Mus musculus: one gene and its partner. The protein of the gene in region 1 purifies or fractionates together with the protein of each later gene. This does not show direct contact. Links are inferred from orthologs where the notes say so. Each region holds a gene or a part of one and is shown in the gene's direction. Other genes may lie near its edges.

Evidence for each region.
Region 2: the proteins of Slc30a2 (region 1) and Mettl9 purify together in Homo sapiens (co-immunoprecipitation; 3 studies listed by BioGRID and IntAct, with this or other methods). This does not show direct contact. The link is inferred for Mus musculus from reciprocal best matches to the Homo sapiens genes SLC30A2 and METTL9.

The regions. Positions count from the first base shown.
Region 1 is NC_000070.6:134,341,410-134,345,855, forward strand, and holds the start of Slc30a2 (zinc transporter 2), read left to right. Parts: upstream 1-1,636; 5' UTR 1,637-1,877; coding exon 1,878-1,927; intron 1,928-2,040; exon of another isoform or gene 2,041-2,217; intron 2,218-2,598; coding exon 2,599-2,807; intron 2,808-4,446.
Region 2 is NC_000073.6:121,033,032-121,037,289, forward strand, and holds the start of Mettl9 (methyltransferase-like protein 9 precursor), read left to right. Parts: upstream 1-1,413; 5' UTR 1,414-1,779; coding exon 1,780-1,944; intron 1,945-4,258. UniProt on the Homo sapiens protein: Protein-histidine N-methyltransferase that specifically catalyzes 1-methylhistidine (pros-methylhistidine) methylation of target proteins.

The DNA.
Region 1 (4,446 bases):
AGTTTATCTCCGTGTCCTTGGCACAGGGAGCCAGGCAAGGGCCTGGTTAGATCTTTTTACAATGATCACATCTCTGGTTGTAAGGTTTAGAAACAAAAAGGCTTTTTGCTGGCTATAGAGAACAAAGAGCTTCTTTCTGGCTGTATTTTTAGAGATCAGGGAAAACAAGCTTGGGGGAACGTTTAGGGGCTTTACCGTTCAGGGAGAAACGCTTTAAGTCGGGGTCTCACACTTCCTTCTCCCGCACTGGGCACTGGATAGGCTCCAAGGCTTTGTGCATGACTGCTCAATCCACAAACTACACCCCCAGTTATACTTTCCAAGCTGAGGTCATGAAGAATCTAGGAGATGGAGTGACTGAGTACAGAGATCATCAACCGGAAGGAGATATCTATCAGCACTGAGCTGTGGGGGGAGAGTGAATCGCAGAGCCCAATCCCCCCAAAAATAGACTGTTTGGAATACATAGGGCAAGCTGGGTATAGTGGCACATGCCTTTAATCCCAACACTGGAGAGGCAGAAACAGGTAGATCTCTACTCTAAGTTCGAGGCTAGCCTGGTCTACAGAGCATGGCCAGTTCCAGGACAGCCAGGGCTACACAGAGAACCTTGTCTCAGGGAAGGAAAAGAAAGAAAAGAAAGGAAAGAAGAGAAGAGAGGAGAGGAGAGGAGAGGAGAGGAGAGGAGAGGAGAGGAGAGGAGAGGAGAGGAGAGGAGAGGAGAGGAGAGGAGAGGAGAGGAGAGGAGAGGAGAGGAGAGGAGAGGAGAGGAGAGGAGAGAAGAGAAGAGAAGAGAAGAGAAGAGAAGAGAAGAGAAGAGAAGAGAAGAGAAGAGAAGAGAAGAGAAGAGAAGAGAAAAGTGTGGGGTGTGGTCTTCTCCGTTGAAGGTCCCACATCATCTCTTAGGAATTTGCTGGGCTTCTGGGGTACACAGTCTCCTGCAGTGTGTCTGTTCTCCCCAGATAGCATCGGTTAAAAAGACAGGACACTGTTCTTTGTAGAGACGGAGATAAAGCGGCCGATCTGGCCACTCCAGATCGCAATCAGAGAGTGCAAGGCAGGAGGAACTTTCAAAATGGGTCTGTAACTCCAACAGCCCTATTGTGGGGCACCGCCCCAGCAAGGGGGAGGCAGATCCTCTCTGGCTGCAGCCACGGGGCAAGAGCACCAGCCCCCTGTCACTCCCTTGCACCAAGAATCCAATTCCAGGAAGTCTCTCTTCCCCGCAGTAGCCCCCATCAAAGCTGCTAGTCACATCCCTACCCTAAGGGCAATCGAAGGATTTTCTTTCTTTTCTTTTTCTGAGGGTTTATTGTTGGTTGGTTTTGTTTTTTGAGACACTCTGTGTAGCCGTGAAACTTACTCTGTAGACCAGTCTGGCCTCGAACCTAGAGATCTGCCTGACTCAGCTTCCCCATTGCTGGCCTTAAATGTGTATGCCACCACGCCAGGCCGATTTTCTAGAAACTTGGATTCCAAGGCTTTTTTTTTTCTACAGGATTCCAGGAAGAGTGGGTTTTGTGGTCATCCAGTCCTAACTTAGCAACTCTAGGCAACTCTTAGCAAGTGCTTTTCTCTTTGCTCCAGGCAAAAACTTTAGGTCGCAGTCCGGCTCAGCTCCTTCGGGCTCCGGGGATGCAGGGGTCAGGTCCTGGGGGCAGAGCCGCAATTCCCTTTGCAGCCGGCCACCCTCCCCCCTCCCCGCGGGCTTTTGCACACGACGCGCGGCGGGCGGCTTCACACCAGGTGGCGAGGAGGGCCGGGGATAAAGCGGGCGGGCGCGGGGCGCAGCGGCAGGGCCGGAGCGGAAGGTGGAAGGTGACTGCGAGCTGCCATCGTCCCGCGCGCAACTTCGAGGGCGCACCGAGAGAGGCGGCATGCAGACTATGGACAAGCAGAACCTGCTGGAGAGCACGCGCGGAGCCCGGTAAGTTCAAGCCCCAAGGGGCGGGAAGCTGGGCAGCATCACACGTACCTCCTCTTTGACCATCTCGGCTGTGGTTGGTCCGAGCGGGGGCTTGAACTGGGACCCGATCCGAGGGATGGGGTGAGGCAAGAGAAAGGAAATTGGCGGCGGCCTCGTAGCCTCAGGGATCACCTGTCTCACCTGGCCAAGCACACAGTTCCTGAACGCTGCCTGCCTGTACGCCCGAGTGGGACGTAGGGTGCCTGGAACCCCGCCTTCACTCCAGCACTTTGATCCCGGGCAGCCCTGAGGTGGGGAGGCCCGGTGTCCTTGGGTGCGCTGAGCTATGGTCTTTAGCTGCTGTTTGAGCCAGAACTCTGCTCAGAGCTCTTTCTCTGAGCTCGACCGGACTGACTGCCCTTTGGCTAGTTCGCAAAGCTCTCAGCCTGGGAATGGGTGGAGGAGCAGGGGACCATCATAGAACAAGGTCCCAAGACTCACCTCCCCAATACCACACCCACCCCCCTGTAACATTGGCTGCATACCTCTGCTTACCCGCCAGCCAACGCGGGGTTCGGAGTGTTCTTACTTGTTCTGGAAACAGCAGACTAGCAATAACTCCCAGAGACTGGCCCAGTGCCCCCTCCCCCGTCTCCGGCTGAGCGGTCTCCTGTCCTTCCTCTTGCCTCCAGGTCCTTCTTAGGATCTCTGTGGAAGAGTGAAGCTAGCCGGATCCCTCCTGTGGACCTGCCCGCGGTTGAGCTGGCTGTCCAGAGCAACCATTATTGCCATGCCCAGAAGGATTCTGGAAGTCACCCTGACCCCGAGAAGCAGAGGGCCCGACGCAAACTCTATGTGGCCTCTGCCATCTGCCTGGTGTTCATGATTGGCGAAATCATTGGTAAGGCCGTGTGTGTGTGTGTGTGTGTGTGTGTGTGTGTGTGTGTGTGTGTGTGTGAATTAAGTGAAAGTTGCTGTGCACATAGGCTGAATGTTTACATTAATGCTAATGGCAGTAATAGCTACCCGTTTTATTGGTTACTTTTTCTTCTTTCTTTTTTCTTTCTTTCTTCCTTCCTTCCTTTCTTTCTATTTTTTTTTTTTTGAGCTTTCACTTTGCTTGCCTAGAACTCATATCTGTCTGTTTCTGCTTCTAGAGTGTTGGGATTAACGATATGTGACACCACAACCACCATTATTTATTTGTTTGTTTGTTCGTTTGTTTATTATTTTTCGAGACAGGGTTTCTCTGTGTAACCCTGGCTGTTATAACTCCCTTAGACCAGACTGGCTTCGAACTCAGAGACCTGCCTGTCTCTGCCTTTCATGTGCCTCTACCACCGGGCTAATTTTTTTTTTTTTTTTTAAGGCAATCACTTGGCATGGCTCTGTAGTTAAGAGCACTGGCTGCTCTTCCAGGGGACCTGGCCCTGCTTCCCCGCACCTATGTGAGGGCTCTGTCATCTGTTACTCTATCTAGCCCCAGGGAGTCGGATGCCCTCTTGTGGCTTCTGTGGGCACCAGGCATATGGTATACATACATACATGTAAGCAAAAGACATACACTTAGGTTAATAATAAAAGAGATAAGAAGAGCCCCTACTGAGGCCCTTATTTTGCTTTCCTGTCCCTAGGTGAACTTGATTTTCTGTGAATAAGATCTGAGATAAACAGCTGAGGTGCATATTTAACATAACAAAGTGAACCAGGCCTCCAGGTTCTCCCAGCCTCCTTCAGTCTCTACCTGGTAAAATCTGCCCTCCACCCTGAACTTTTCAGCCCAGGGGACTAAACAACTTCTCCCCCAAGAGGGACTGTTTCCTAAATAATCCAGACATTTTGGCACCCTGCTTTGAACTCTAACTCACTCTCTCTCTCTCTCTCTCTCTCTCTCTCTCCCACACACTTCCTTGTTCTTCCCCCTCCCCTCTATCTCCCTCTTCATGAAGACTTCCCTGGCCTCTTTCTTGGGACCAATTAACTCACCTGAGAGCCACATAAGAGGTTTCCCAATAAACCTGCCTTTAAATATACTTTAATCTGCTTGAATTAGCTCATTTTCCCATGGAGAAATGACTTTTCTTTCTTCCCTTTTATTTTCCTTGAATTTTTTTTTTTTTTTTAATTAGATGGGATTTCTCTGTAGCCCTGGCTGTCCTGGAACTCACACTCTTTTAGACCAGGCTGGCCTTGAACTCCTAGAGATCCACCTACCTCTGCTTCCCGAGTGCTGGGTTTAACGGTTTCCCCACCACCAGCATTACACACACACAGACAGACACAGACAGGGTTCCTCTGTGTAGCCCCGGGGCTGGCTTGGAACTTGCTCAGTAGCCCATGCTTGCCTCAGCTCAGTGCCTTCCCTGTCTCTCTGCTGGGATGAAAGGTGTGCTCCACTACAGCCTGTGAGAACTCCATCCACAGGCGCAAGAGTGGAGGTCAGGTGCCCATGTTGTACAACTGAGAGACTCAGAGACCTTGAACCCAATTTGGCTCATCTTCTAGGGTGTGTGGGCTCTTCGCTGTACACAGCTAGGGGA
Region 2 (4,258 bases), on another chromosome or scaffold:
TTAGCTGTCAAGTTCACCCCAAATTCTTCAGATCCTATCAGATGTATCTTTGCTTCTTGTTTAGAGGATACATTTAGGATTGAAGTCTTGGAGCTGTGGTTAAGCAAGCTTAATCTTAGGACACAGTTTTCTGTATCCTTTGTCTTTAGAAATGAAATATGCCCGTTTATGCACTCTTGTTGTATCTCCTCTTTACTTAAAAAGGTGAAGACTCTGGTTTGATACAGAAGAGCTTTATTGGAACTCAAAGAGGGGACATAATACAGTCATTTACATTCACTATTATAGCTTCTTTTAAGTATGTTGGACCAGTACTTCTAGAAAGTTGAGCTCAATTTAGTAAGGTATAGTCTTGGGTTTAACACCCAACTTGGAGAGATGTCAGGGAATATACCAGAATGAGAGAAGACAAAGTATTTTGTTATATTCTATGCACATTAGGTAACAAAATATTCTTATTAACGAAAGATGGTAAATAGATACTTTAACACCTAAGGAGTTTGTGATAAGGAATGCCATTTCTCATCCAGGGGTCATTATTTCATAAACGGAAATCTCTTCAGTGTAGTGTGATGAAATTAACGTAAAGATAAATTTGTTTTATAATTAATTTAAAATTAATGTACAGAATCTGTCGCTGTCAAATGAAAAGCATATTCTAACAAACCTAGGAAGGTGTGAGTAGCTGGGCTAGGAAATATGCTGTAGCTTAGTAGCAACAGTTGAGACACAACGACATCTCATGACCCTCATTTTAGAAACATTGGGCTTCTTCCTGCTATAAATGATCTAAGAAATATCTGGCTAAATCTCCCCAGACCGAGCACATTTTAAGAATGTCTGGTCCAACTTCTATCAGCTTGAGAAAACATGGCAGCCAGGACTAACTTGCAAGGAAACATGGCAGCCAGGACTAACTTGTGGCCTTCGTTGTCCAGCAGATGCTATTTTCCATCACATTTCGTTGAGTGCTCCAGGAGCAACAGTTTCCAACAAAGGCAGAGCTTTCACTCATGAGGGCTTCACTAGACCTGTGACAGCCGCTTCTCAGGCTTGGGAACACCGGGACTGGGAGTGGCGGTGGGATTCTTTCCCCCTCGATTCTCTGCTTTGCAGCTATCGGGTGGCTTTTGGAGTTGGGAGTCAGGTTCGCTGACCCCAGATGGAAATTATTAAATAGACGGTCAAGACTGTAGCAAGAAGGGCAGCGCGGGTCTATCGAATAAACCTGGGTCTGTGTCAATGGGAACAATTAGGTCAAAGGTGTAATCGAGGGGCCCACAGGGTAGTTACTAAGGCAAGACAAGCCCGGAAGTCCTGCAGACCCCTCCTCGGAGGGGCCAGACTCTAGTAGCCCCTTTAGGAAGTCTCCCCCGGATCTTCCGCCATTATGAGTCCAGGCGGCGCCACGGAGGACGTGCACGCCCTCTCTCCCAACTCCCGGGCCTCCCGGTCTCCGCTCATTGGGCAGGGAGGACGCCCCTCCTGCGTTTGTACGTGCACCGGGTGGAAACACGACCTGGAGTCGTTGGCGTTCCGGGCTGGGAAGGGCCGCGGGGGACGTGAGAAGGCCGCGCGCCTGCCGCTCCTCCCCCGCCCCCCCTCCCGCGCCATCTCCCCCTCCCTCTGCCTCGGCCCCGAAGGGGGCTGCACGGGCGACTTGGCGGCGATGGCTCGAGCTCCGGCGGCGACGACGGTGGCCGGAGGCGGCGGCTCCTCCTCCTCCTCCTCCTGGGCTTGGGCCCGGCGGTGATCCGAGCTGGCGGCCGCGGCCCCCCGATGAGACTGTTGGCGGGCTGGCTGTGCCTGAGCCTGGCGTCCGTGTGGCTGGCGCGGAGGATGTGGACGCTGCGGAGCCCGCTCTCCCGCTCCCTGTACGTGAACATGACTAGCGGCCCCGGCGGGCCAGCGGCGGCCGCGGGCGGCGGGAAGGACACGCACCAGGTACTGGGCCGCAGCCCTGCGGAGCGGGGGCGTGGCGCGGCGCGGCGGGGCGCTCGGCCTTCCCGCGCTCGGCCGGGCCATTGTGCGGGGCGGCGCGCTCGGGCCTCGGCCCCGGCCTCTCACAAACTTTTCCCGGCCCGGGCGCTGGCCCCACGGCGCCTTTTGTTCGGCGGCGCGGGCGGGGGACAGCCTTTGCTGCCTGGCTCCCCGGGCCCCAGCGTGGGCGCCCCGAAGCCCCGCATTGTTCCCAGGCCGGCGGCGGCGTCCGCGTCCGCCCTCAGGACCCGAGCAACTTTGGGTAGGGCCACCCAACTGGCACTGGGGCCTGAGCAGAAAACTGCCCCAGCTCTCACCCAGCCAGCCTTCCTCTACCCCCCCGAGGGACAAAACCGAAAGCCGGTCTCTTTTTGTCTGGCCGAATCTCTGGATATACAAAGGGTTCTAAAGACATTAAACTGGGCCTCGTGAACATTTCGGCTGACATTTCCCCGAAGCACTTAAAAAAATGTGTTTGACAGGTCTGGGCTCCCAGCCTAGGAACTCTCCTCCCCCTCTGCCTATGAGACGTGTCCTTTCAACTTGGGTTTAGTGAGCTGACCAGAGAGGTTGGGATGAGGAGGAAGATGATGCAAGCTTTAAACGGAGAGGTTTAAAAAATCTGAACTGTTCAGCAGTGAATTCTTGTAGCTAATGAATGGATTGTGAGCCGTGGGGGTTCTACCGGTTGGATGGGGTTGGATGGTCTTTTCATTAGCTATTTGTACCACTTAAAGAAACATGCATGGGTCAGCTGTTGAATTAAGAGGGAGGTAGTTTGCATTTGACCGTAAGTAGTTTGTGGTTAACCTTGCAGTCACAGAAGAGAAGCCTTTGAATTTAGACAAACTTTGCGCTTTTTCTAAAAGCCTGAGTTTAGTATGTCTTGCTTTTACAGAGAGATGTAAGGAATGATTCCTTGTGTTATTTGGACCTCACCTTTTTATGTATAACAGCATTAAGATTTTATTTGCTATTAACTGGATTGTGTTGTTTTTTTTATGGTGTTGGGATGGAACCCAGGTCCTGGAAACTGTTCTACCCTGATCAATACTCAGACCTCATTTTCTATTTTGGAAGGAATCCTCGATTTTCATTATTTAAATTTACTAGTGATTGTGGCGTTTTAGATGCCCTTTTATGTAGTATTGTTAGGAGTGCGATAAACTTAGTATAACATCTTAAATTGTATAACCATGCTTATTGTCACAGACTATGTTATGCTGGCTCAGTGTCATAGAGACAACTCTGAGGTATACACTGTTAATTAAGTAGGATCAGAATGCCTCATGCCCGTGTGGAACAAGGACTTGGAAATGCTGTGTTTAACAAGCAGTGGATAGAAAAAACGATTATTCCCTATGATGAGGAATTGCGGTTGAGTCTCCCAGTTGTCGGTATTTATGATAACACTTGGGATTACTGCAGAGGCTTGATTTAGGTGCTCATAGAAATTGTGCTTATGGGATGGCTCAGTAGTTAAGAGACTGTGCTCAGTCAGCTCAGACAGCTACAGCTCAGACAGCTCACAACTCTGTAATCCCAGCTCTTGCAGGATTGGATAGCTCTGGACTTCTTCAGCACATGAGCGTGTGCAGGCGCGCACACACACATGTACACACACACTATATATATTGTGACTGTAGAGCCCAGGAAGAATGATGGCAGAGGACACTATCTCAGTGCTTCTCAGCAGAGGGCATTTTCTAACTGCATACATTCATTTATTTCTGTGGTGCTGAAGATCAAACTCAGGCCTTGTAAATGCTGGGCAAGTACTGTACCACTAAGCCTCATCCATAGTCAGTTTGTCTGTATGTCTGTCTGTCAGTCCATTTGTCTATATGTAATTTTGAGACAGGGCTTTGTAGCTCTGACTGGCCTAGTACTCCTATGTAGTTCAGACTGACTTTGAACTCAAAGCAGTCTTTCTGCCTCAGTTTCCAGCATACTAGGATTACAGGTGTTCCATGACCATGCGTGGCTTGTTCTTTGTTTGCTTGTTTGTTTTTCTCTGTGTAGCCCTGGTTGTCCTGGAACTCAATCTGTAGATGAGGCTGATACTGAACTCAGAAATCTGCCTGCCTCTGCCTCTTGTGTGCTAGGATTAAAGGCATGTGCCACCTGGCTACCCTTAGTTTTTTGAGATAGGGTCTGTGTAACTCAGGATGGCCTCAGATTCAGAGTCCTTCTACGTCGGCCTCCTGAGTACCAGGATTGTTTTAAGTGTATATCACTATACTCTGCCAGACAGTATTTTTGAGGTGAATAAATTTGT